Linked DNA regions of Caenorhabditis elegans. The protein of the gene in region 1 interacts with the protein of each later gene in a pairwise test. Each region holds a gene or a part of one and is shown on either strand. Other genes may lie near its edges. The genes, in order: arl-3 and dac-1.

What was found.
Region 2: the proteins of arl-3 (region 1) and dac-1 interact in a two-hybrid assay, tested with the Caenorhabditis elegans proteins (one large-scale study listed by BioGRID).

Annotation. Positions count from the first base shown.
Region 1 is NC_003280.10:14,600,462-14,611,262, forward strand, and holds arl-3 (ADP-ribosylation factor-like protein 3), read left to right. Parts: upstream 1-6,010; 5' UTR 6,011-6,750; coding exon 6,751-7,178; intron 7,179-7,463; coding exon 7,464-7,590; 3' UTR 7,591-7,857; downstream 7,858-10,801. Other genes in the region: tps-2 (Alpha,alpha-trehalose-phosphate synthase [UDP-forming] 2), read left to right, coding at 448-788, 832-945, 992-1,149, 1,204-1,483, 1,538-2,238, 2,458-3,260, 3,306-3,614, 7,858-7,914 and 6 more; pugs-2 (ShKT domain-containing protein), read right to left, coding at 3,745-4,053, 4,133-4,294, 4,502-4,654, 4,700-4,907, 5,078-5,157. UniProt on the Caenorhabditis elegans protein: GTP-binding protein that may be involved in protein trafficking; may modulate vesicle budding and uncoating within the Golgi apparatus.
Region 2 is NC_003281.10:809,973-824,358, forward strand, and holds dac-1 (Dachshund homolog dac-1), read left to right. Parts: upstream 1-6,172; 5' UTR 6,173-6,298; coding exon 6,299-6,347; intron 6,348-7,497; exon of another isoform or gene 7,498-7,589; intron 7,590-8,366; coding exon 8,367-8,644; intron 8,645-8,697; coding exon 8,698-8,799; intron 8,800-9,005; coding exon 9,006-9,112; intron 9,113-10,380; coding exon 10,381-10,466; intron 10,467-10,508; coding exon 10,509-10,623; intron 10,624-10,669; coding exon 10,670-10,790; intron 10,791-10,839; coding exon 10,840-11,032; intron 11,033-11,076; exon of another isoform or gene 11,077-11,097; intron 11,098-11,456; coding exon 11,457-11,668; 3' UTR 11,669-11,758; downstream 11,759-14,386. Other genes in the region: Dauer larva development regulatory growth factor daf-7, read left to right, coding at 1,966-2,094, 2,222-2,461, 2,523-2,704, 2,752-3,064, 3,115-3,303; clec-149 (C-type lectin domain-containing protein), read left to right, coding at 13,250-13,362, 13,885-14,308. UniProt on the Caenorhabditis elegans protein: Transcription factor. Plays a role in the thermotactic response.

The DNA.
Region 1 (10,801 bases):
TAGTTATTTTTGGTTTCTTTTTTGGACTTGAAAATACCATTTTTCCTAAAAGTCAATTTTAGGGTAAGCTTTAAAAAAAATCGATTTTTATGTTTTCTTTGGTTTTTTGAAGAAGTTTTTTTTGTATTCTGGTCTAAAATTGTTATTGCGTACGCAAATATATTGCCTTTAATCAAGTTTTAAATAGAACTTTCTTGAGATTTTTTGAACCAACTTTTTCTCAAAACTACAAAATGTAGAGAAATTTTCTTTCTAAATAAAAAAAACCACATTTTCCAACAAAAAAAATCCATAATGGCGTTTTCTCAAGAGATTGTTCGTTTTTTTTTCGGTTCTGAGAGTTTTGAGAGATTTGTAAATTGTCTTTTTTTTGATGACTTATTCTACTTTTTTATTTTTCCTTACATATCTCCCATCTCCCAAATTTCGCTAATTTTCAGATCAAAAATGGGAAGCGAACCACCGCCATCAGAAAAAAAGGTTCGAGAACCATTCTCTCGAGCCATGAAAGATGTCCAGATTAGTGATGAACAACGGCTCAAAGAGCTCTGGCATTTACTTGATCTGCTGGAAATTGAATACAAAAAGACAGCGGATCTGCATACTCTCATCTCTTCTGTATCCGAATCTTTGACAATGGTCTGGAAAAGGAGGGATCCTAAGTCGGAATTGGCTCTGAAAGGACTTTTACTTATCCTCGAATACTGTCTGAGTCATGTTTTTGATGGCCATGCTGTTTTTGAGATTTTTGTGTCGTCGTTGGGATTTAATACGGTTATATTCTGGAAGTGAGTTTTCATAATTGAAAAAAAGGACAATTTATATTTCCAGACACTGCGCCGGTTACATTTTCGACTCGGATCTGGGAAGAGGTACAAAGTTCCGTGACGCGCTTCTCTTCTCCCTTACTCTGTACGACGTCAACACTGGTAAAAATCGATTGCGGTAATTTTGAAAAATATTGAACCAAGCAACACGGGTTTCATTTTAGAGAACTTTATGCGGCGGTACCCGGGATTCGAAAGTCTCTACTTGGAGTGAATGCCAAACAATTTGGAGAAAGGTATCACCATTTACAAAAGCGTCTGGCTCGCTATGGATCACACACTTCTCTATGCAGTGTTTCAAGTGATAGTGAGGGAGAGGAAGGTAGGCTTAACTTCAAATTGTTCGACAAAATCCTAATATTTTCTAAATTTTCAGCCATTCACAACGTTCGCTCTGGAACTCACACAGAAAGCGAAAGCGAGGAAGACCCAAAAGCTCCAAGAAGCGGCCTTGCCACGTCACATTTCCAACAACGTGTCATCAACGTGTCCAACGCACCACCTGTTTCTCTAAAGCGTGAAAAAACCGGCGACTGGGAGATCAAGCAAGGTTCCGGAGGACTGGTCGCATGTGTGGATCCAGTTATGTCGAAGGATCACGAAAACTTATGGTTGGCTAATTTGGGAATGAACATTAATGATAAAAAACAAAAAAGGTGAGAAATATAAAGACTAAAATCGTATTATAAGTAAAATCATAAAATTTCCAGACCCGGATCAGTAGCCTCCATCCCGGAATCATTCCCATCAACGAATACTCTGGGGCTTCCACTTATTAAGCAAACAATTGCGGAAGTGTTCTTCCACGTTCTCGCTGATGACGATATGGATGCACCGAAGAATGAGAAACAGAAGAAAGCTCGTGAAGAAATGTCTCTTCTTGGTGTCCTCAACAATTACAATCGCGGAAACTACAAGTTGAATCCGGTAGTTGTTCAAGAAGACGACTATAACGTTTACTATGGAGGCATCAGTAACGGACTACTATGGCCTGCACTTCACAATCTCCCAGAATACATTGTCAGTGAGTACGACGACGAGAAAATTCTCCGAGCTCATTGGTGCGCCTATGTTCGAGTCAATTACCAATTCGCAATTGACGCCGTGAGAAACAGTCGGCCACAAGATTTCATCTGGATCCATGACTACCATTTGATGCTTGTTGGAATGATCATGCAGTCTTTAGATCAACATCTAGAAGTCGGATTCTTCTTGCACATTCCCTTCCAGCCACCTGGAGAGTTTTTCTCAAAGTACTCCACTGTGGGATTTGCGGTGCTCAGAGGGTTGCTGAGGTTTACTAAAGTTGGATTCCAAACTCACAGGGATCGTACAAAATATATAGAACTTGTTCAACATTACTTTGGAACCGCGAAAATTGTGTATGACAATAAGATGGATATTTATTCCAGTGAGTTGATTGAGAGCATATTTTGGTAAAGCATTCAGGAACGAGTCTGATCAAAATTTTGAGCTTTGAGACAAATTCGGCAAATCGGCAAATTGCCGGTTTGCCAACTTGCCGGAAATTTTCAACCTCGGCAATTTGCTAGTTTGCCGAAATGCCAGAAAAAATCGTTTACCCACCTTCACCCTTCTTGGTTTGAAACTTAAAGAAATACATTTTCAGTAACAAATGAAGGATGGACATGCTCCCTCGGAGTCTTCCCGGTGAGCATTAAGAACGACGATTTCTTGAAATTTGTGGATCTTCCTGAAACCATCAAACTCAAAAATGACCTCCGAAAACGCGTCATGGGAGACACACCAGCCCCAGACGGTAGATTCTTCTTCTCGGTCGAAAGATTCGATTACACCAAAGGAATTATGGAAAAGCTTCAGGCCTATAAGAGGTATTTCGAGAGACATCCAGATCGAATTGGCAAGGATGTACTTTTTCAAATCGCTGTTACAAATCGAAGAAGTGTGGATACGTATCGAGTGTATCAGGATGAATGTATTGATCTTGCGGATAAGATCAATGAAATATTCAAAGATCCCAATAACCCCACATGGAAACCATTGGTCTTCCAAACTGACGGGCTTCCAAGAAGTGAACTAGTTGCTGCCTATCTTGCAATGGACATTGGTGTAGTAACTCCGAAGAAGGATGGAATGAACCTCGTCGCCAAAGAAATGCTTGTCTGTAATCCGAAAGCTGGACTAGTACTCTCTACAGGTGCAGGATCTGAAATTCAGTTCACTACTGCTGGGCTTTATAGCGATAAGGAGAAGAATTATCATAGAATTTCCAATGTCTTTGATCCGGACTCTTATTGCGATGCCTTCTACTCAGCGGCTTTGGAACCAGAGGATGTACGAGCAGAGCATGGAAAGAGGCTTCACGAGTTTATAATGGCCAATGATATTGAGAGATGGAGTTGTGCATTTTTGGATCCAAGTTGGACACATGAAGTTATCAGGCCAACTCAGGTAAAACATAGTTTGAAATAATTAACTAGTGCTTATCATTTTTAGGTTGAAACCCTCGACGACTTCTTCTCTCTGATGATGAAAACTCGCAATGTCCGCCGGCAAATTGTGGGTCGCGTCCTGAAAGGAATACCAATCCGTTCCCATTTTGCGATTTCTCTCCGCAATGCCAAAGAATCCTTGGAGCAGATCTGCAAACCTGGTACCCATACCGCCGAATTTAAATCTGGACCGGACTCAAAGGAAGTTGCTCACTTCGAGATTGATAATGAATTGCAAGAGTTTGAAAGAGATTTGAGTTTTATCGATTATGTGCAAAGTGATGATGCTGACAATGTGGAGCAGTTTGTAGATGTGAGTATATTTTTTAATCGCGTTGGTCTTGACGCGAAGAAATTTATAATTATAACTAGCATTATACTTATTTCGTTTATTAATTTATTCATTTTGTGCTCCTCTTCAAATTTTAAAGCGTGTAAAACAATTAATTATCTTTTAAAAGTGTCTCCACCAGTGTCTCATTTCCAATTTGTATCTCGTCTGTTGACAGCACCACAGTCTCATTCACATTGTGATTGTGCTCTTTTCTCATTCCATGTCCCTTCTTCATGTGCTTCTTGTGTTGGTTTGGTGGCTTTTGTGTGACTTCTGACTTTTCCATATGAATTTCGGGAAGGTTGTAGGACAGGCATTTCTTGCGGTATTGACGACACGCAAAGTGCTTTTTGTACTTGGCGGCGCAGATTTTTTGGAAGTTTAGACACTGCTCCAATGGGCTCACTTGAACATGGGTCTGGAATTTTCTCATTATTTTTATTTATAAACGGTAGTTATTATTTATTTAAATAAGGCTATAACACTCTATAACTCACTGAATTACTCGTCAATGTTGAATTATTGACTTCAATTTCTGGCAAGTTATATTTTCTACAGTGTCTTCTGAAAGTCTTGCAAGCATAATGTTTCTTGTACTTTTGACTACATTTTTTCTGCAGTTTCAAGCATTCGCCAGCGGTTTTTGGGTTTCGTGAGGTCTGAAAATTGTTCTTATAGGTAAACTATATTTAAAAATCTTAAAATGCAAAAATACTGAGAACGTTTGAGAACTTAAAAATTTTTATCATGGCTCAAAGTTGAACTTGCCTTTTTCAAAAATTTCAAGAGTTTTCTATAAAACTGGTCTATTAAGGCCAATTTTGAATCAATTTAAGTAATAACTTTACTCCAAAAAGCGAAATTACCTTTGATTTTCCCCTTTTCGAAATAGCCGCATCATATTCACAATTTTTCTCGAAAAAGTAGCAATGACCGTTGTACTTCTTTACGGCAAGGCAGTTTTTCTTCAAATCGTCACATTCAAATGAAACATCTTGCAGATCGGTTGTAGAGTTTCCCTAAAACAACGCAAAAATTACTTTTCTACTTTAATAAAAACTTACCACAGCGCCCAAAATGTTCACAATGGTCTCGTTTGATTTTAAGTGTCCACACCAAGATGGGCAGAGTCTTCCTTGAGATTCGTGGGTGGAATTTGAAGAATCGTCAAGGAGCAAAGCTTGAACTTTGTCTGGTTGGGAACAAGCCTCACATTGACATAGGTTAATATAGCAGGCCGAGTCAGAGAAGTAGAAGCAATAGTTGGCATCGCTGAAATATTTTTGTCAATAAATTTAGTCGAAACGTTAAAAGTACAATAATCTAAAACGGTATTTTCAGCCTCTCATTTAAAATTCCTGTTTATATTAATTCTTCGAATACATAACAGTAAGTAACAAAATGATGGTCCTCCAACACTTTCATTTAAAAAAAAAACTCACAGAATGTCGCAAATATCCGCCGTCTCCAAAACTCCAACAAAAGTCAGCGAAATAAACAAAACCACCAACCGTGATACCATCTTGTCAAAAAAGTTGAAAATAGAGATAGCGATATATTGTGTCTCCGCACCTGTCCTTGAAAAATAAAATTTCAAATTCGCAAACCTCCCCCTTATTCTGGCAAATGGATGAGAAGGGTGACCTACTTTTTCTACCGATATTGGAATTTTAGTAGCAGTTGAAAATGAGGAAAAGCGAACTGTAGGAGGAAAGTGAGAAAAAAAGAAGACGTATGGACATCAAGTGCACTTGAGATTTTAGGGCATTGGGAGGGAAACTGGATGAAATGGTTTGTTATTATTGACAAAATTATTTTATTAGATTCAGAAATGAATGGACATTTTCAAGTGATCATATGGTTTTGAAATTAGTTGGAACGAGTCTTACCAAAAACAAGATACGGTGCCAGAAATTATTCGCACTACTACGTTAATCATTTGTAAAACCTAATAATTTTGAAAAACTTGGTCAAGGTTGATTATCTAAAATGTCTATAGAAAATAGGTTATACGCAATGGAATGTGTACTTTTAAAAGTTTTATGTAGCCGGGAGCGAGAGTGGTCTCGATGACACGAAAAACAATTGCAGAGGGCGGGGGGCAATTTCGAATGCGTTGAGCTTTTTTCACATGATACTCATAACGCAAGGCTTACACTTGACCTATTGTTTAAATCGATGAAGACATATGCACACTAAAACGACTGCGGCAAAAAATTTGATATGAAACTTGATATTTGATTATTGAAATTTTTGAGTCTTTGTTTTTGCATTTTATGGTTTTTTTGTATGCAAAAATTATTGCAAGTTCAGCTGTTAGTAAATTTGTAGGCAATCAGGCAGGCACCAAGTTTTACTTTTTATTCAATTTTTTTGTCGACAAACTGGGCAAGTCTGCAAATTGTCGGTTTGCCGGTTTGCCGAAAATATTCGATTTGTCGGGGGTTTTTTATAAGACGAAACACTGTGCTTTTTTGAAGTTTTTTCCCCCATTTTCTTAAGATATTTTCATAGAATTCGTATATTTTTCAAAATTGATGTAGGAACATTCATAGGATGCGTGCAATTTTGTCAATTAAAATTGAAATTCTGAAATTTCCGAAAAAATACACAAAACCACAACTTTGAGCAACCTTTTTTTCAAATTCCTTTTTCCTCTCAAATTTTACATGCATCATAATATTCATCATTTGAGGAAATTTAAATATTCATACTTCATCAACATATTTCGAAATACTTTTAATCCCATTTCACCAACAATGGACTTGTACATTTTCTAATTTGCACTTCCCAAATCTATCCTAAAATCAGTTAATTGTAATGGAAACCTTCGAGAGCTCATCACGCGATTTTTCGCCACCGGCCACTTCATCTGACTCACAAACGTGCACACACAAAATGCGTGCTCAACATTTGAGCTCAGAAGCTAAGAGATGGGAGGAGCAGAGACGCACGAGCATGCACGTCTCTATGGTAACATACGGGAGCTAGAGAGTAAGCTTCTCTTCTCTCACTTGCAGACGTTGTCCTCATTCTCTCTCCTTCTCTCTCACACGTTTCCGGTTTTTCGTTCGAATTCTATTCTGGTATTCCTATCCCTTGACCTCTCACAAAAATGGGACTCATCGATGTTCTGAAATCATTCAAGTCACCCAGTGGCCGCGAAATCCGAATCCTTCTACTAGGACTCGACAACGCCGGTAAGACGACAATACTGAAGCAGCTGTCCTCTGAAGATGTTCAACACGTCACACCGACCAAGGGATTCAACGTGAAGACTGTCGCCGCTATGGGTGACATACGTCTAAACGTCTGGGACATCGGAGGTCAGCGATCGATTCGTCCGTATTGGTCCAACTACTACGAAAATATCGACACACTGATCTTCGTGATCGATAGTAATGACAAGAAGCGGTTCGACGAGATGAACATTGAGCTCGGCGAACTGCTTGACGAGGAGAAGCTTCGCAAGGTTCCGGTGCTCATATTTGCTAATAAACAGGATCTTGTCACAGCAGCGTCATCAGAGGAAATTACCAGAAAGTAAGTATTTTTCTTCAACAATAACAATTTATGGTTGTTAAAACGAATGACCTGGTTTGTCCTTTGCCTTCATACATAAAAAGCGAATGCCATTTCCCTCAAGGACTTTTTCTCTAATAAGCTAAACCTTCTTATATTAATAACACTGATAGAAATAGAAAATGTATTCATTCAGTTTTTTTTGAAAAGTTATCATCAGCTCACATCCAATTTCAAATTGCAATAAAAATGCATTGACAGCTTAATTCCTAAACTCCAAATTCTAATCTCCAAAATCACCTTCAGACTAAACCTGGACCTTCTCCGCGACCGCACTTGGCACATTCAAGCCTGCTCAGCGCTCAAAAACGAGGGCATCAACGACGGAATCACTTGGGTTGCTAGTAACCTGAAACCGGCTTCTAAAAAATAGATCATTGTATAATCCCACACAAAAAATCTTCCAGGGAGTATACAGTATTACCAGTGTTGCCCTAAGTTATCAATCGAGCGCAAGTGCTTCTCTCCCCACCATCTCTATCCATTTACAATATCTCTGTGGCAGTCTCTCATGCTTAGTATCTCCTTTTCCATGTTTTTTTCGTATATCAGTTAATAAATATCATACCACGTGGATTTATTAATAATTTTTTTAAATAGTGAATGTAATTGGCATTTATTTAAAAAAATTAAATTTCAGACACTCATCAGCTCACATCCAATTTCAGTGGAAACCTATAAGAAGGAAGTTGAAAATGTAAGGGTAGTACATAACTAAAGTGCCAATTAATTTCAATTTTGGATATTTCTAGGAAAACAAACCCCATCGAGTTTGGAAATTTTTTCTGAATTGTTTTTTAAAGAAAAAATAATTTTTTTTGAATTTTGTAAATGAAATTTTGGAAAATTATTAAAAGTACCTTAATCAACTATGGCTAACTGAACATTTTACTTGAACAATTTGAATCACCAAAATAACTGTTAGGAATAATTTTAAGTGCATCCAGAATTGTCCAGAGAATCAAAAATTCAGAGTTTTCTATCAAATCCAATTTATACCTCCACCACCCCAAACCAATTTTAACATTTAGGCCGTTGAGCTGCTCTACTCTGCTGATCATTTCCACTATTTCTTCACCGATCGAGACGGAACTTTGAAAAGTTATTCGTGCAGTTATCCGTCAAGTATTCAGCCAGCATATTCTGGAGTCATTCAGGTATGCAAATATGGAAAATTGGAGAATTTGTAGATATTATTTAAGTTTTAGAAAAAGGGTTCAAAAAAGTTTGCTCTGTTGCTCTCTGCTCTGTTACACTTTCGTAGTCATAATTTTAATTCTATACTAATATGTGATTATAGTTTGAATTTTTTCGTAGAAGTTCAGTATAAGGAATTGTTTATCACCAACCTAGAAATAAATCATAGTACATCTGTAATGTAGTTTAATGAAAAAGTATAGTTTGTAGTATTATATTTATTGCTATTTTTTTAATACCAAAAATATTCTAGTAAAATTGAAACTTTAAAAAAATTAATGTTAGTCAAGAAGTGGATAGTTTTTTGTTTTCACCTGTCACAAGTTGTGCTTGACAAATAACTATAATATTTATCAATTATTTTAGGCCCAATTTGCTCGCCGCTGTGCTCAAACCTGTGTAATTCTGACTACAGCTCCTCTAATGCACATCGGTGTTCTTGATGTGTCAACTATTCCAAATGGTTATTACTATTTTGGTGCATCCGGTGGCCGTGAGTGGTTCATCGACAATGGTCATAATTTCAAAGACGAGTCAATTTTGAAAGGAGAGAAGGCTGATGTCCTAGCAAGCGTAAGCTGAACTTTTCAAATGTCTCAAAACTTCAGTTTTTCAGGCGTACACACGAATCTCTCACTTGCTAGAGGAGCCCGAGTTCCGTCCATTCACATGGGTTGGCTCAGGACTACAAAAGCATTACGGTCACTTGACCATTGCGTTCCAAGACGTCTACAAGACAATCACCGAGGCTCAAGGAAAACAGCTACACGAAGAAATTGAGAAAATTGTGAAGGATGTGGATCCACATGGTACACGTCTTCAATTGGCTAGCACTGAATTTGACATTAAGGTTTATATGAAGGTATGTTTTACAGATTGTAGGGGAAAATCCGAAAGTGTTTTCCAGACAGAAACAGATGGTCACGTATTCGATAAGGGAGATGGATTAAGATTGCTGTGTGAGAAAATGCACTGTGATTTGACGGTAAGTGAATTTATAGTATTTTCAAAGTATTATACTCTGAAATTTAAGGTACAAAAACATTAGGAAATGTATTAAACTTACTTTTGAAACCTATGTTTGCTATTTAAAAGTAGATCTTTTGAATTGATGTCTATAAAAATGTGAAAACTGTGTTACACGTTTTTTTTTATTTAAAAAATAATAATCTCTCACTTGCTCGAGGAACATTACAATGAGAAATTTTCAGGAAGGCAACGTGTTGGTATGCGGAGACTCTTCCACTGATATTCCTATGCTTAAGGAATGTCTGATTAGAAATCCAAAAGGAGTCTACACAATTTGGGTTACTGTCAATGATAAATTGAAGGAAGAGGTAAGTTTTCAAAAGTGCTTTATTCAAATTCAATGAATAAAATTCATTTTTTCCAGGTCCGCGCTCTCTGCGCATCCTACTCAAACTCCAACGTCGCATTTGTCTCGTGCCCAGAGGTTCTGCTTGGTGCCATGGCCCAAGCCACCATCCGAGAGATAACCATCACAAGAACCCGCAAAATGTCACGAAATATTGTTTGACCGCAAAAAATGAAACCCACCGACTAACATTTTTCTGTCTGTATAGGTCTGACTACCATTTTTCTATGTTTTGTATGGGTTAATTAATTTTTTCGCATTTTCCAAGAAATTTTGAGCTGAAATAAAGGCTTTGTGTCCCTTTAGCTTTTGATCCATTATTCTTGAGGTCTCAGAAGAAAGGTTTGGTGATAAATTGGACACGTTAATGATTGATGAGACTGGCCGGAACGGGTGACAAGGTTATTAAAAAAGTTCGTTTAGTGAAAACGTTACCGTACCTAAAGGTTTATCAAAAATTTGGCACGAAGCGAATTCTACTTCAAGGCGTGATAGATTACTGTACTTGACCTGAAATCCTAATTTTATTGATTTCTTCAATGTGTAAGTTCAGACACAGGAAATCAAGTCACTTTTTGATCCAGAGATGAAAAAGATACGATTTTTGATGATATCTAGGTAGTCGTTACGCTTCTTGAAACAACACAGACGGAAACATTTTATGAAAGGTTGAGGGGATGAAAGGGCAATTAAAAACAAAGCGAATCTAGTTAATACACCGTTGAGAGAAGGAGATAAAAAGTGAAAGTTGAAATATTATAGACTGATCACTGGATTAAGCTGATTAGTTAGATACAAAAAAAGACTATTCGGTTATATTCTAAGCCTATCAAAACAAAATCACTAGCTCTTTAGATCTTTAAAAACTGTAAACGTTAAAATTTTGGGTAATCGAGCTAAAAAAATTTAAATATTTCTAAAAGAAAAATTCAGTTTTTGAGATGGCAAATTTGATGCAGAAAAAAATTCGTGTGCCCAACTGTGGGGAAACAACTGCCAAGATGTTGTGACG
Region 2 (14,386 bases), on another chromosome or scaffold:
TCGCCACGCACCTCAAAAATCAATGGGTGGCGCGTGTCAAGACCGTCGCGCGTAAATACGCCCCCCTCCCCCCCTTAAAATCGTAGAAGTGAAAAAAAGCACTGTACGAAGAAAGAACAAAAAGGCCGTAAAAGCATTAAAAAACAGCGAAAACACTTATAAGACAAATAGTTTCCCTAGAATTCATAGCAAGGCTTATTTTTTTGCTAATTTAAGAACAATTAAAAATTAAATTATTTTACTAAAATTTTGAAGCACTGATAACTGTTAACTTTTAGCAACTTTATGGTTATGGAAAATTGTTTATTTTTATAAGAAATCGTTGGGTGAAGAATTTGAGATTAAGAAAGAAGAAAGTTCCATAAAAGTTTCAGTATATCCCAGCCAAAAAAATTCGTGAAAGCAATTTTTTGATTTTAAAGCTAAAGAAAAAAAAATTCAAGCTAGTAAGAATTGTCAAAATCAAATATAGCTCATTTAAAACCTCAAACGTTGCTTAAACGGGTCGATGCCCACTTTTAGATGAAGAACGTCCCCCGATGAAGAACGTCGGAATCCGGCACTTGAAGAGAAAAAGTCAAACATTTTTTTGGGTCGAAAGATCGGGGACGCCGGGGGGATCAAACCTCTTTTGCAGCGGGTCGACCACTTCGATATATTTAAAAGGCTGGCCTTACAATTAGGCCTGCAAGACCAGCTAGAAGTATTTCACGGATTTCAATAATTTCTTCTATCTTTTTGAAATTCATGTAAACACTTTTCAGATTTTTCAAATTTCAGATTTATGCCAACTCGGCAAAACGGCCTAACTTCATAGCATACTCTTGCAACTTCTTATCAACAATTAGGCATTTTAGCTTTTAAGCAAACTTTTGCAGCTTTTCAGACGACTTTTGCAATTTCTTAGCAGATGCAAAGCTAAATTTCGCTCACAATCCCGTTGGTTTTCGCAACTTCTTAACAGCTTTTTACAAAGTTATATAAATGTTTTTATTAAGTTGCAGGAGTTTGCTATGAAGTTGCGACGTTTTGCCGAGAAGTGTACCCTTTCAATTTTGAATTAGAGAATAAATTTTATTTTTAAGGAATTTACGGTGTTTTGAATGTTCTTACCTCAACAAATGTTAAACAATTGTTACATTTAATCAGAAGCTTGAATCATGTTTTATCAGACCAATTTTTTCTTTAATTATATGTTAGGCTGCTTATTGAGAAATCGAAATGTAAAAGAAACAAATCTGTAGTTTAATTTGACTAAATTCAACAAGATTTTAAGCTACTTTTAAAATGCGAACAACGACATTTTCGGCAATTTTCAAAATATTCAAAATGTTCTCAAACCATTATGTTGATAACATTAGGTTGATAATGGCAAGTGACCAGAATAAGTATTGAGTGTGTAGTAAAAAAATTCCGATCAGTCTACAATTGCAGATATTTAAAATAAGCGACTATCGGAACTTTTGGCGATTACTGAATTATCGAAAAAATCTGATACCCGAACAGCAATCGCCTTGTTAACTTAATGAAAATTGAATTAATGAGAAATTACAACTTTCAAGCAGACCTAGAATTATTCACAACGTTTTACTCCTGAAATATATTCGCACAGAATCTTTGAAAAGTACAAAAATTTGGAATAAATTTTCATGAACAGAAAACCTATTAGGGGCCAATTCCGCAAAATTTTCTGGAAGCTTCTTTTCTCTACGGTATAGATGAGTTACCACATGGATGTCCAATCGCTGCGCAGGCCACGCCCCTCTGAGATCTCAATATGGATATGAGAGCCCGCCTCATTATGGGCGGAGTTCAGAAGAATGGGATAAAAGGGGGGAATTCAGTAGTTTAAGCCCTCATTCAAAGTTTTTCTTTGGAAAAAACAACAACTTGTTCAAAGCTTTTTTATTTCTACATCTTCAACTTTTTTTCGACTGCCCGGTTCAGCCCGCTTGAAGTTCAGCCATGTTCATGGCATCTTCACTCCCGGTGTTTATCTTCCTTCTTTCCCTCCCACATGGTTTGACGTTCAACTGCACCAACTCAGGTGTTTGTATTGAAAAGATGAAGCAGCACCGAACAGAGTACCTTAAGGTGAGCATTATTTGATCCTGTAAGATCATTCAAGCTTATCCGGATTTGACGAAACTTTACTAGTCCACTAGTTTGTTTGATCACTGTGATTGTGTCTTACTTTAATGTTTCATTTTACATTCTTTAGAACGAAATTCTCGACCAGCTGAACATGAAAGAGGCACCAAAGGGATTGAAGCCAATGGACCCAGAAATGAAGTCAGTCTACCTGGAGATGTATAGGGACTTACTGGAGAAGGACGAGCAGGATATGGGCGTTGAAATGTCATTCTACACCGCCAAAGATCCAAGTTATGGAGAGAACCCGTCGCAGCTTGTTGCCAAGTTTGACGTCACAAATGATTTGGAAAGAAGCGATATTCTTCAGGTATCGTTTGGTTTTTTTTTAAAAAGAATCCTTTTATTAAATTTCAATTATCAAATTTCAGGCCACACTCACAGTATCAATTGAGATTCCTGCAAAGGATTCAGGGATGCTTCAAGATGTTCAAGTTCAAGTTTACGAGAAGAACGAGGATGGATCAATGGGAGAGATGGTCACTTCTGGAATTTTCGCTACAAAGGGATCCGAACGTATCAGCATTCAACTTCCAATTGATACTGTCAAAAGGTATGACGAGCAAACAAATTGCAGGCGACTAATTTTAAATATTCCAGTTGGTTCACAATTTCTCCGATCCAAGGTATCTTCGTCAAGGCAATGCTCGACGGGCGCAACGTTGCCCTTCATCCCCAACAGACCACTGCTGACGTTGACAACATGCGTCTTCAGCTCTCCACTCGTCCAAAGGGGTCCCGCAAACGCCGTTCTCATGCCAAACCGGTTTGCAATGCCGAAGCACAGTCCAAGGGGTGCTGCTTGTATGACCTCGAAATCGAATTCGAAAAGATCGGATGGGACTGGATCGTGGCCCCACCACGTTACAATGCCTACATGTGCCGCGGGGATTGCCACTATAACGCACACCACGTACGTTTCTTGTTGTCTCATAACGTTTCCAAAATGAAAAAATATTTCAGTTCAACTTGGCGGAAACCGGACACAGCAAGATCATGCGCGCAGCTCACAAAGTCTCCAATCCTGAGATCGGATACTGCTGCCATCCAACCGAGTACGACTACATCAAGCTGATCTATGTCAACCGCGACGGACGCGTCTCAATCGCCAATGTCAACGGAATGATCGCCAAGAAATGCGGTTGCTCATAAATTCCACTTCCGATTGTCACAAATGTTAAGTAGTCACCGATTTGTTTCTTCTTAATGAATCAAAATTCATGATTTCAACCCCGTAGTCACATATCCTCTCCTTAGTTGTAGATCCTTCCCTCCATCCCGTTCATCCTCAAATCACGAGGAGCTTCTCTTCTGTCGGTCTCCTTTCCCTCGATCTCATCCCAGAATGCTCGCCGAAATAATTATTTCCGAATCGTGTGTTCACCATTCACCATCCATCTGATATATCCTTTGTCAGCTCTCTCTTTTCGTACCTCGGATCCTTCCACTACCTCCTTCGACAAATGTTGTTCCCCTCCCGAAAGCAACAATGTGATAGGCAACGACTCCTTCTCCCATTTTTATGTGTGTCTGTGCGTGCGTAGTTGTGTTTTCTGAGATTCAATTTCAACAAACCACGCACTTTTTCATCATCATTGACAAGAATATGTTATAAAACACTGTGATTGAGGAATAAATTATTGAGTGCTGTTACACATTTTCTTTAGAGTTTTAAACTCTAAAAATGGCCACCAGAGGCGCCTCGAGCTTAATTTTTTACTTAAAAATTAAGAAAAAATGGGCAAAATACTTGCAAAAAACGTTCTGCAGCATTTTATATAGTTTTCTGAGAAATTGCTTGAACGGTAACAATGAGCTTTAAAGTTCTCATATTTACCACGGTTGTACGATTTAACAAAAATCTCCATACACTTGGTGTCAGGTCTGGACAGTTCTGTTGCCACTTTGCTAAACAAGACAACTGTTTTCATTGAATTTCATTCCTACAAATACGACAGTAAAGTTTATATTTCCCTGTTCTCTAGAACATGACATTAGAAACCATTCCCAACAATCGTTTGAAAAAGTTGCATTAGCAAGGAGAAGAATTTAATGTAAAGAGACAAGTAGATAAGGATCTTAAGTTGTTCGTTTAGTTCGTTTTTTCGGTGAATGATAGAATGAATACAAAAAGGTATTGAACTGTTCCGAAAAACTATTAGGAACTTCCCGAAATTAAGTTTTGAAAATAATCACAACTGATTTAACCATTTGGATTATCCAGTTGTTGAACCACATAATCACTTTTCTACTTGAAATCGTTGCCATGTTGCAAATCTAGATTGAGATTTAAATCTTCATTGGCTCCAGATTCTTGCCTCAAAAGATGTTTTGGAGAATGTTTGGTTCTTACCAAAAATTTTTGATTATGTACTAAAATGTAAAAAATGATTTTGATTTCCTATGATTTCCTATGACCTTTCAGTGTTTATTCTCAATTCGGATTGTTTAGCAAAAAAAAATTAGTTCCGGACAAGTCTGACACAAAACAATTTTATCACTGATCTGAAATTTGTCTCAACTTCTAATTGTAAGAAAAAGCTTGTGCGGTACATATTTGACTCCTGAGTAATATGGTTATACAGTTTTTGTTACTATCTTCCGAAAAACATCCCCCGCCGCACTATACATTCGGATACATGCGGCGACTTCATGAAAGCCCTAGTCTAATTGCGTTTTAATAAGAATTTATCCGGATGATCACTGTTTTATAAAGATTGCCAACTAAATTGATATTTTTTATAATTTTCACAAATAAGCGTACTGTATCAGCTCTAATTTGCCTCAAGAACTTGCACCACTATAAAAAATGAATTTCTCATGCGTCTAGAGCTCAAATTACGTTTCACTCATTCAGCCATGATTATATCAATGCAGATGTAGGCTACACGTTTAGTAGCTTCAGAGCAGCAGCAAGTCTATAAATACCCAAAAAAAATTGGAAAGCCTCTGAATCATTGTGTGTGTGTGAGTGAGCAAAAGTTCAGCTACAAAAATGGATTTTGATCTCTTGTTTTATGGCTTCAATTATCAACATTTTCAAATTTTAAATTATTTTTTCCCGAAATTTAAATTTTTCTGACTTTGAATTTTTGACTTTTTGGCGATTAAATGAAGCCATTTTTCGAAATATTTTTTTCTTGGCGAGAGAAAATAATTATATAGAGGAATGGTATAAAAAGTTCCAAATTTAAAGGGGGAGCTGGATGTTTTTCAAGAGAAAAGAGTACAGTAAGATTTTAATGAAAAATTTCTTTTCAGCTGGAGAAACTTAAAATTTTCTAAAAAACGGCACATTGCCGGAATTGAAAATTCCCGGCAAATCGGCAAATTGATTTTTGGAAATTTCTGAATTTCTACTTCAATTGGCAAAATTGAACGCGTCCTACAAATGTTCCTACATCTATTTTGAAAAGTAAGCAAATTCTATGAAAATATTGAAGAAAACGGGAAAAAATTTCAAAAAGGCAATCAAGTGTTTCCGTCTTATAAAAATTCCTCTAAACATTTCCGGCAAAGCTGATATTCGACGAAAGGCAATTTGGGAATACGCCAAAAATGAAAATTTCCGATAAATCGGCGAACCGCCAATTTGCCGATTTGCCGGATTTGTTGACAAAAAAATTGTCGAACGGCAATTGCCACCCACCGCCCACTGGCACTAATTTCAAATACTTTTCATAGCAAAATCCACCACAGGGACATTTCATAGTCAAAACAATAATTAAAATTAAAATTAAATGTTTTTTTTAAATTTTACTCTGACTGAAATTGATGACGAGAAGGTAAATATTCAAATTTCTCGTATAAGACAAACTTCTCCACAAAATCTATTTTCAGGTTACAAATCAATTAGAAAAAAATCCATTCATGCCGATTTTCTCATTCCTTTCCTCCTTTTTCTTTTCCTCCTTCATTCAATAGCAATAGCAATAAACTAAGTTTGTCTCAAGGTGGAATGTCCTGTAATGTAATGAACAGAAGAACTCCTATTCAGTTCTTCGTCTTCGTCTTCACCTGTCTTCAAGATCCTAATCTGCGAAATGATGGCAACCACATTTCACCATTCAGTTGCGAATTTCTTTCATCTGAATGTGAAGAGTTTCGTGTGTCTTCTTGAACCATTCGAATGAATTCGCTGGCAGCAATGCAGGAACTCAGCCAACTTGGCGGATATTTTCAAAAACTTGCTGCAGGTATTTGAAAATTTCAAACCGTTAAAAAATGAGCCCTTTTGATTCCGTGACAATTTCTGACGTTTTAAGCTAGACTTTTTTGAAAGAAATTTTTTTAAATAAACTTTAGAATATCTAACTGATTCTGACTCCAATTCAAAATAAAGAAGAGAGATTTTTCTTTGATATAGAACTACATTTTTCGCGTCAAAAAGTTTTTGACTTTTTTTTCTCGTTTTAAGAAACTTGTTATAACCTGAAACATGAATTTGAGTAGCGGACGCCTTGGGACGATCTTTTAAAACATACTAATTTTCTAATTTTCTTTGTGGATTATGTAAGTAAGCGTTGTAGAGTAAGTTACTCCTTTAAAGTAACAAACTATTGTATTATCTCAATAGTCTTGCAGCATCTATTGCTCTCACACCGCATTAGAGCATACAAGTCATTCGAAAATCATTTTTACGTGCAAGGAGATACTGTGCAATTCTTTCCGGCAAGTCGGCAAATTGCCGGAATTGAAATTTCCGGCAAATCGGTAAATTGCCGGGATTGAAAATTTCCGGCAAATCGTGCAAACCGGCTATTTTCCGATTTGCCGAATTTTTCCGAAAAAACGGCAATTGCCGTAAATGTTCGGCAAATTATAGCTTTGCACATTGTTTTTGGAAGTTGCCGGAATTGAAAATTAAAAAACAAAAAAATTTGCCGAACGGCACTTGCTGCTCTCCCCTGATACGTATGTATATCAATTTTTCATTGCTCTCTAAAAAGTGATGTCATTTTCTTGAAGATATTTTTCCCAGAAAGCTCGGAATCAATAATCGAAGCTGACTTTAAACTTAATTTCAAATGAAATTGTGACGTAGAAATTCTGGAACAATAGGGTTGATCACCATTACGAAATAGACTAGGTATGTCATCAATAAGTACGTCAGTTCTTTTTTTGCCTATTTATTCCCCACATGAGCGTCATCTAATACATGCTTACTCTATCAAAAACGAAAAATCGGTAAATATTTATGTGTAGGAGCACTTAGAAATATTAGAAAATCACCCGTACATTACCTGTGTGAGGATTTTCGGATGGTAATCCGGATTTGTCGGTGGGATAACGGGGTTGTGCCAGAGAAAAATGAGGATACCTTATTTTCGCGCTCACTTCAATTCCTATTCCATTTCACATCAACATCAAACATACAAATTCTACCTATTGCTTACAACTATTATCAGTATTTGATTATATGGATATCGATGAAAGAGGTTGATGTACACATGGTCTAATAACGCATGTTGTTTCAGATTTGAGAGTTGTAGTGATAGTTTAAGCGGCGAAACTAAACTTATCGCCATTTTTTTGGAATTTTTTTGAAAAACAATTTCAATGTTTTAGAGGTGTTTACTATATTAGGCAGATAAGCAATTCGGTTAGTTAAAAATTTTTTGGTAGGATTGAGTGAAAACTCTTAAAATTGCCGAAAAAGTAGTATTTGGGTTATTAAGATGCATCAACAGCGATTAGAGCTTGCAGAATATTTGAAGATGGAGTAGCACCAGTGGGGGAAGTGTTAAAAAGTACTCATAGGTGCCAAAATGACAGAATATCATAATAAAAAAAAAACTTTTCAAAAATTTTTTGAAATTTTTTTATTTACTGTCAAAAAGTGACAATTACTCAGTTTTTGCCACTCATAATTTTGGAAGTCGACCAAAAAATTTTTTTTCCTACTTTTTTATACTGCAATTTTGTTTTTATTATTTTTATTAAAACATTGTAGGGGTCGGAACATGCGACATTGCTTTGGATCTCCTTAAAAGCTCTTTTTTTTTTTGGCACTTTGCAAAAATTTGTCCGGAAATTATAAAAAATCTAAAACTTTTTGGAATGTATTATTATTATATTAAGTCGTTCTGGATCATTATAAATGTATTTAGACAAAATCCCCAATGGCGCTACTTCACCTTTAAGCTGAGCCATAAAATGTAGTATGCCAAGCGTTTCCAAAAAGAACAGAAAGAGTGTAAAATTAAAAATTCCAGGCGGATTCGTGATCAACCCATCTTCTTCTTCTTCCTCATCGAACAATTCCTCATCTAACACTTCTTCGTCCAATTTTCTATCTCCATATGAGTATCAAGAATCCTCGACCTCACCACGTGACACTACAGATTCATCTGGTGAATCCTCGTTGTCCTCTTCTGGCTCTTCATCTTCACTGAATGGTTCTTGTAATGTTGCAGCCAAGTTGATCAAGTTCCGCGGGCATAACGTCGCCGCTTTTGACATAAACGGCAAAGAAATGATTTGTTTGCCTCAGGTATGAGCTTTTTTTGTGAAAACGAAATAGTCTAGAAGACATGAGAAGTTTAGGTGTACGAGGTATTTCTCAAAAATATGGTAGGAGGACTTCATACGGTATACACTAAACTCAAACGGTTGTACATTCATCCGATGGTTTGCAATGTAGAACAGGTAAAAATTCTTGTCCACTAACAAATTTTAGAATAATTTGAAAATTCACCTGACTGACAATATTCTAAACCAATTAAATAACCCGTAAAAGAATCTGATGTTTAATCTCTTTTTTAAAGAAAATAAAAATCTCTCATAATCCGCATGCAAATACGGATATTTTATCGTTATCCTTCTATAAAATCTCCACCATCCACGACTTTTAGGTGCGCGCCCTTCGATCACTTGGAGCTATCCAGCCGGGTGTCAACCGATGTAAACTACTCAAGACTTCGGATTTCGAGAAACTCTATGACGATTGTACAAGCACTTGGTGGGCGTTTTTACTTTTTGGGATCATCAGGTGATGAAAGTGTCATATTTCCAAAGTAGCATCAAACTTGGCTTGGAAATTTTGATTTCTGATAACTCTGTCAAGTCAGGCGAATGCTATTACGCTATTACTATGCGCTTAGCTTCATAAGATAGAGGTTTTTTCACTTCCTATTTTCCAAGCTACAGAAGAAACTACGACAAGTTATTTTACTTTGAAAAAAATGGATTTTCCAGTTGGTAGAAGATTGGTTTTTTATGAAGAGTATGATATGGAGAGTTTTAAACCTCCTACCGAAGAAACAACTTCTGACAGGTGATTTCTAAGGTGTTTCACGAGAATTGTTTCCTTATCACTTACATTAGGGATCCCAGCTGAAATGCGGGCCTCACGTCGACGCCGCTGTGTGTGCACAACGGTGTGCGAAAAGCTAATTATTTGGAAGCGGCCGACACATTCGGGGTTCAGCGCGGCACTATACATTCGGATAAATGAGGCGTGATTGACGCCGTGAGGCTGGCGCAGGCGACGTGGCGGCGACCTCATGGGAGCCAGAGGTGGGCAGATATTTTTTCGGATATTTTCTAATAATGAATTTATCAATTAATATTGATGTAGTTATTCTGGAAGAAATGTATCCGAACCAAAGAGTGGGGGGGGGGGGGGGGCCTATTAAGCAACATTTTAATATGATAAAACCTAGAAAAATTCTACAAGTTTTCCTTACCGAGACCTTAAAACTTATTAGCCGAGCAACATCGGATATCGGATATTACGGATATCGGATAATGGACTTGCATATCGTTTATACAGAAAACTTGTAGAATTTTCCTAGGTTTTATCATATTAAAATGTTGCTTAATAGTTACTCTTTTGTTCGGATACATTTCTTCCAGAATAACTACATCAATACTTATTGATAAATTCATTATTAGAAAATATCCGAAAAAAATATCCGCCCACCTCTGATGGGAGCCCTATTGCAAAAAGCGTCCCTCCTGGATGAAGATTTACCAAGGTTAACCCGGTTTTCGTAGAAGTTTAGCATAAAGGATCAAACTTTAAATGATTGACTGCTACTGTTGAGTACGTAGTTTTGGGAAAAAATAGCTCTAGTAAATATATTAGCAAATCATTAGAGCATTAGTTCAGAGATTCAATAGGCACTAATAGTTGAAATTAATGTCCCGAAAACATTGCTCCTGAATTTCAAAAAAATCATTAAATTTAAGAAGTACATCTAAATATTACTAATCCTTCGCTTTCAGTACCCGCCCTGGGCGCCCATCAAAAAGAAGCTTTGATGATTGGAATAACGGCGCAGTAATAATTAAGAAAGATAAAACGGATTCAGGTAAACTTTTCACAGATATACTCGATTAATTCAATTTTTTAGAGCCTGTGAATGGGCCCGTATTCAACCAACTAATGCAACCGCAAATGACGCCTCAACAAATTTTGATGCAACACTTTGTTGCGCTTTCTCAGAAGACGAAAAATAGTTTTGAGAGGTTAGTCGAGTCATTTTCTATTGTTCATAACTTCAGCAATGTTTAGAGCAGATGATGATGATCAAAATCAGAGAGACGCTGATGATATAACGCCATTGAATCTAAGTAAAAGTGGAGGAAATTCTGAGAATGACTCAGATTCTTTAGAAAATATGAGAAAAGAAGATGTGAGGCACACATTTATAGTTTGTTTGCATCCAACCTTAAACATTTTAGTCCTCACCAAACACGTCTGTTAGTGATCGTGGTGGCTCCAACTCAAATTCATTGTCAATGTCAATGGAGGCTGGGAGTAGTAGTAGTAGTGGCAAAAACGATGAAGCTTCTATGATGAATAAAGTAATGTCCTTAATTGAACTTGCTAGCCAACAGTTCAAGCATGAAAGAGAAGAGCTATGGAAAGAGCGAAGTGAGTTTTGGACTATATTCTTCTTGAATAACACATGGTTCATTGCAAGGGTCCTACATTTCCAAACATTTTAAAACTATTCTTGTCACTTATTTCTCAAGACCTGATAACTGTAAAGTATTTTTACTAATCCTACTTTTTTGATCTCCAATGCCTTCCATGACTAATCGTGAATAAGGTTTCAGACAAATCTCTCTTTTTCTGAAATTCCACTCTTTTGAAATGTATTTCAAGTCTAATCCGGTATTTTACTTATTAAGGGAAGCCAAATGAAACCAATATTATTTTGAAACATTTTAATGAATGATATCAGTTTTTTCTTACAATAAGTGAATATGTTTTGAACGGATAGGGCGAATTTTTGATTGATATAACAACAAAAAAAAACTACGTAGCAAAAATAATTCAAAAAATAAGTTTTCAGGCGAAATACAAGTTCTTCGAGAGAGTTTTCACAAGATTGTGCAAGAAGAACGCGATTTGCGCAAAAAGCTCGAAACTCAGAACAAGAAATGCACGGCTTTCGAAAAACGCTACAAATATGTCAAAAAACAACTATTGCTGGCGAATGCGGACCTGAGAAGATATAAGGAAAAGGAGGAGCAGTCTTCGGACGGAAATTCTGTGGAACTTTGAAGCTTTTTTTTTGAAATCAATTCAATTTTTTTCAGAATTACGAACTAAGTATTTTTGTGTAGAAAAAAGCACTAAATAAACTGTCATATGAAATTGCGATTTTGTTGACAAAAAATGGAAGACAATAGAAATTACATTTTCGCGTATTCCGATTCTTTCATCTTCCGATTCCAACCGTTTTTCGTAAGACTCCCATGAGGTCGCCGCAACGGCACCCGCGCCAGCCTGAATTTTTTAAGCATATTTTTCAACAACCAGGAGGATTTTTTCAGCAACCAGGAGGACTCCACAGTGGTAAACTTCTTTCGAGATTTTTAAAAGATCCAGAAATCAAAATTTTGATTTTTTGCGGGCATGAGATGATGGATTATCCTCCCCCAGCCTCCCCACATATTGAATGATCGGAATCTGCGGGGCGCTTCACTGACTGACACAGGAAATAATTCATCATATTTGTTGTGTTGGGATAAGCATTGACAAGATGGATCACAAGTGGCGAACTTTGGTTTTTTAAGACGGCTGATGGGATATCTAGAGTGCGTCGGAAAGTTAACAGTGTATGTTTGACTATTGTTGCTCCCCTGCAACAATAACACTGATTTTCCGCACTTTCAGAATGAATCTGGTCAAAATTTGAATGCATCAAAATTCGACTATTACTGATTACCTCTAAAGTGTTAAAATTCGTTGAATTTTTTTCTGAAAACCAAATATGATTTATTTTGACTACTTGAAAGCGATAAGAATTGGCTTGTGTAATTCGTATATGAACCTTGTTGTGAAAAAATTCCAGATAAAAACTGAAATGGACCTCTCTAAGTACTCGTTAGCTATATCAGAAAGGATCGGAAACTTTTCAAATCAACAAAATTTGTTTCGATCACAACGTGTCTTGTGCACAAAGTCCAACAGGATTGCTTGACCACAACAATATCGTTTTTTTTTCATTATTTTTCCACCAGAAAGATATCAAAAAGCGTGATGGAAAAAAGAAATGCCAACTGTTTTATATCTTCCCAAATTTTCCCCTTCTCTCAATCCACACTTCTCTTTTCTCCTGGATCCATCATTTGCTCAAAGTTTTCCTTTCCATTTGCTCCGGGTGTCCTCATGTCCCATTGACCTGATTTATGGGAGAAATGGAAGAGGGCTTGTTTCTTTATGATACCCAATAAACTTTCTACCCAATGTGTACTTTTTGTTTCTTGTCTCTAAGATGCTTTTACGCACAGCAACTGCCATTTTCTTTTTGTGTTTTAGATTTTTTAAAATTAAGTATTTATTTTAAAACGGTAGGAAGCAAAATTTTAAGCGGCATAACACAAATTGTTTTAACATTTTTTCATAGTATCTTTGCACTAATTTCAAGATTCTTATGCACCAAAAACATTTAGACTTTCGATTTCTAAAAAGTGCTCACAAGTAGGTTGACAATCTAAAACTCTTTTCAAAAACCTGTTTTTTAAAATTTCCTTGGATATTGAATGTCTTCAAAACTTCGAAAGTAGTGCTAAATTGCACTGAAACATTTTTAGGTCGAAAAGTTGAAATGTGGCATTATTTTATATATTGAAATTTCAGATGACAGCTTCACTAATTTTATTACCGGTATTACTAAACATACTCTATCAACCAGCAGGATCATCTCTGCCTACCTTTTCCCCGGGAAACAAGCACCTCTGCGAGGGCTTTGGGTGAGTTGTATTCATTTTTAAAAAGTGTTTCACAAAAACCAGGGCTCCCAACTGAGTGAGGCGCGAAATGCGGGCCTCACGCCGACACGTGTGCTATGTGGCGATAGGTCGCAACAGGTCGACCTAGCCTATCTTTGAGCAACTTCAATGAATAAAGTGTCTACCTCGAAAGAAAATTTGAGTAAATGGATCATGCTAATGTAATTTTTATTTTCAAAACTATGATTGAATTGTTGGTGAAGCTCTGCTGTGAAATAGGCAGGTCGACCTGTTGCCACTTATCGCCACCCTAGTGTGCGCAACGTAGTGCGAAAAAGTCGTTGTTGACGTGTTCGGGGTACCACCCCGCACTATACAGTCGGATACATGCGGCGTGAGTGACGCCGTGAGGCCGGCGCGGGCGCCGTTGCGTAACAGAAACAATAGTGAATGGTTCAGTCTGAAACATTTATGTCTGAGCCAAAATAAATGTTACTAGGAACTTGAAAACGTGCCTGCCTGCCTACTATAAAAATCTTGCAGGTTTAACTGGGCTGCAGAGATCAGGTGCCTACGAGATATAATCAACGATTGCGAAGAAGGAACACAAGAGAAGAGTAGAGGTGGACGATCCCTACAACGGTCTGAATTCCCAACAGACAACACTCCCCAAGCAGATTACGGCAACCCATACTCCTACCCACGTCCGTATAGTCGAACATACCATCGCAACTCGATAAGTCCTATCAGACCGCCAGTTCCAATGCCGATTCCACAAATTTCACAAGGATGTAACTGTAATCACGACATTGAAGCATTAGAGGCGAAGTTCGACAAAAAGTTATATGAAGTGAAGATGCATGCACAGTATGAGACGGAGAAGGGGGTTGGAGACCTTCGAAAACAATTTGAAACCGATCTTAGAGAATATGAAAGGATTACAACGAAGGATATCGTCGAGATTAAGGTTTGCTAAATTTAGTTGGGTTGTTTCTTGAAAATTTAAATTGAGAACTGATTCACAAAATGAATTCGAACAAACCGT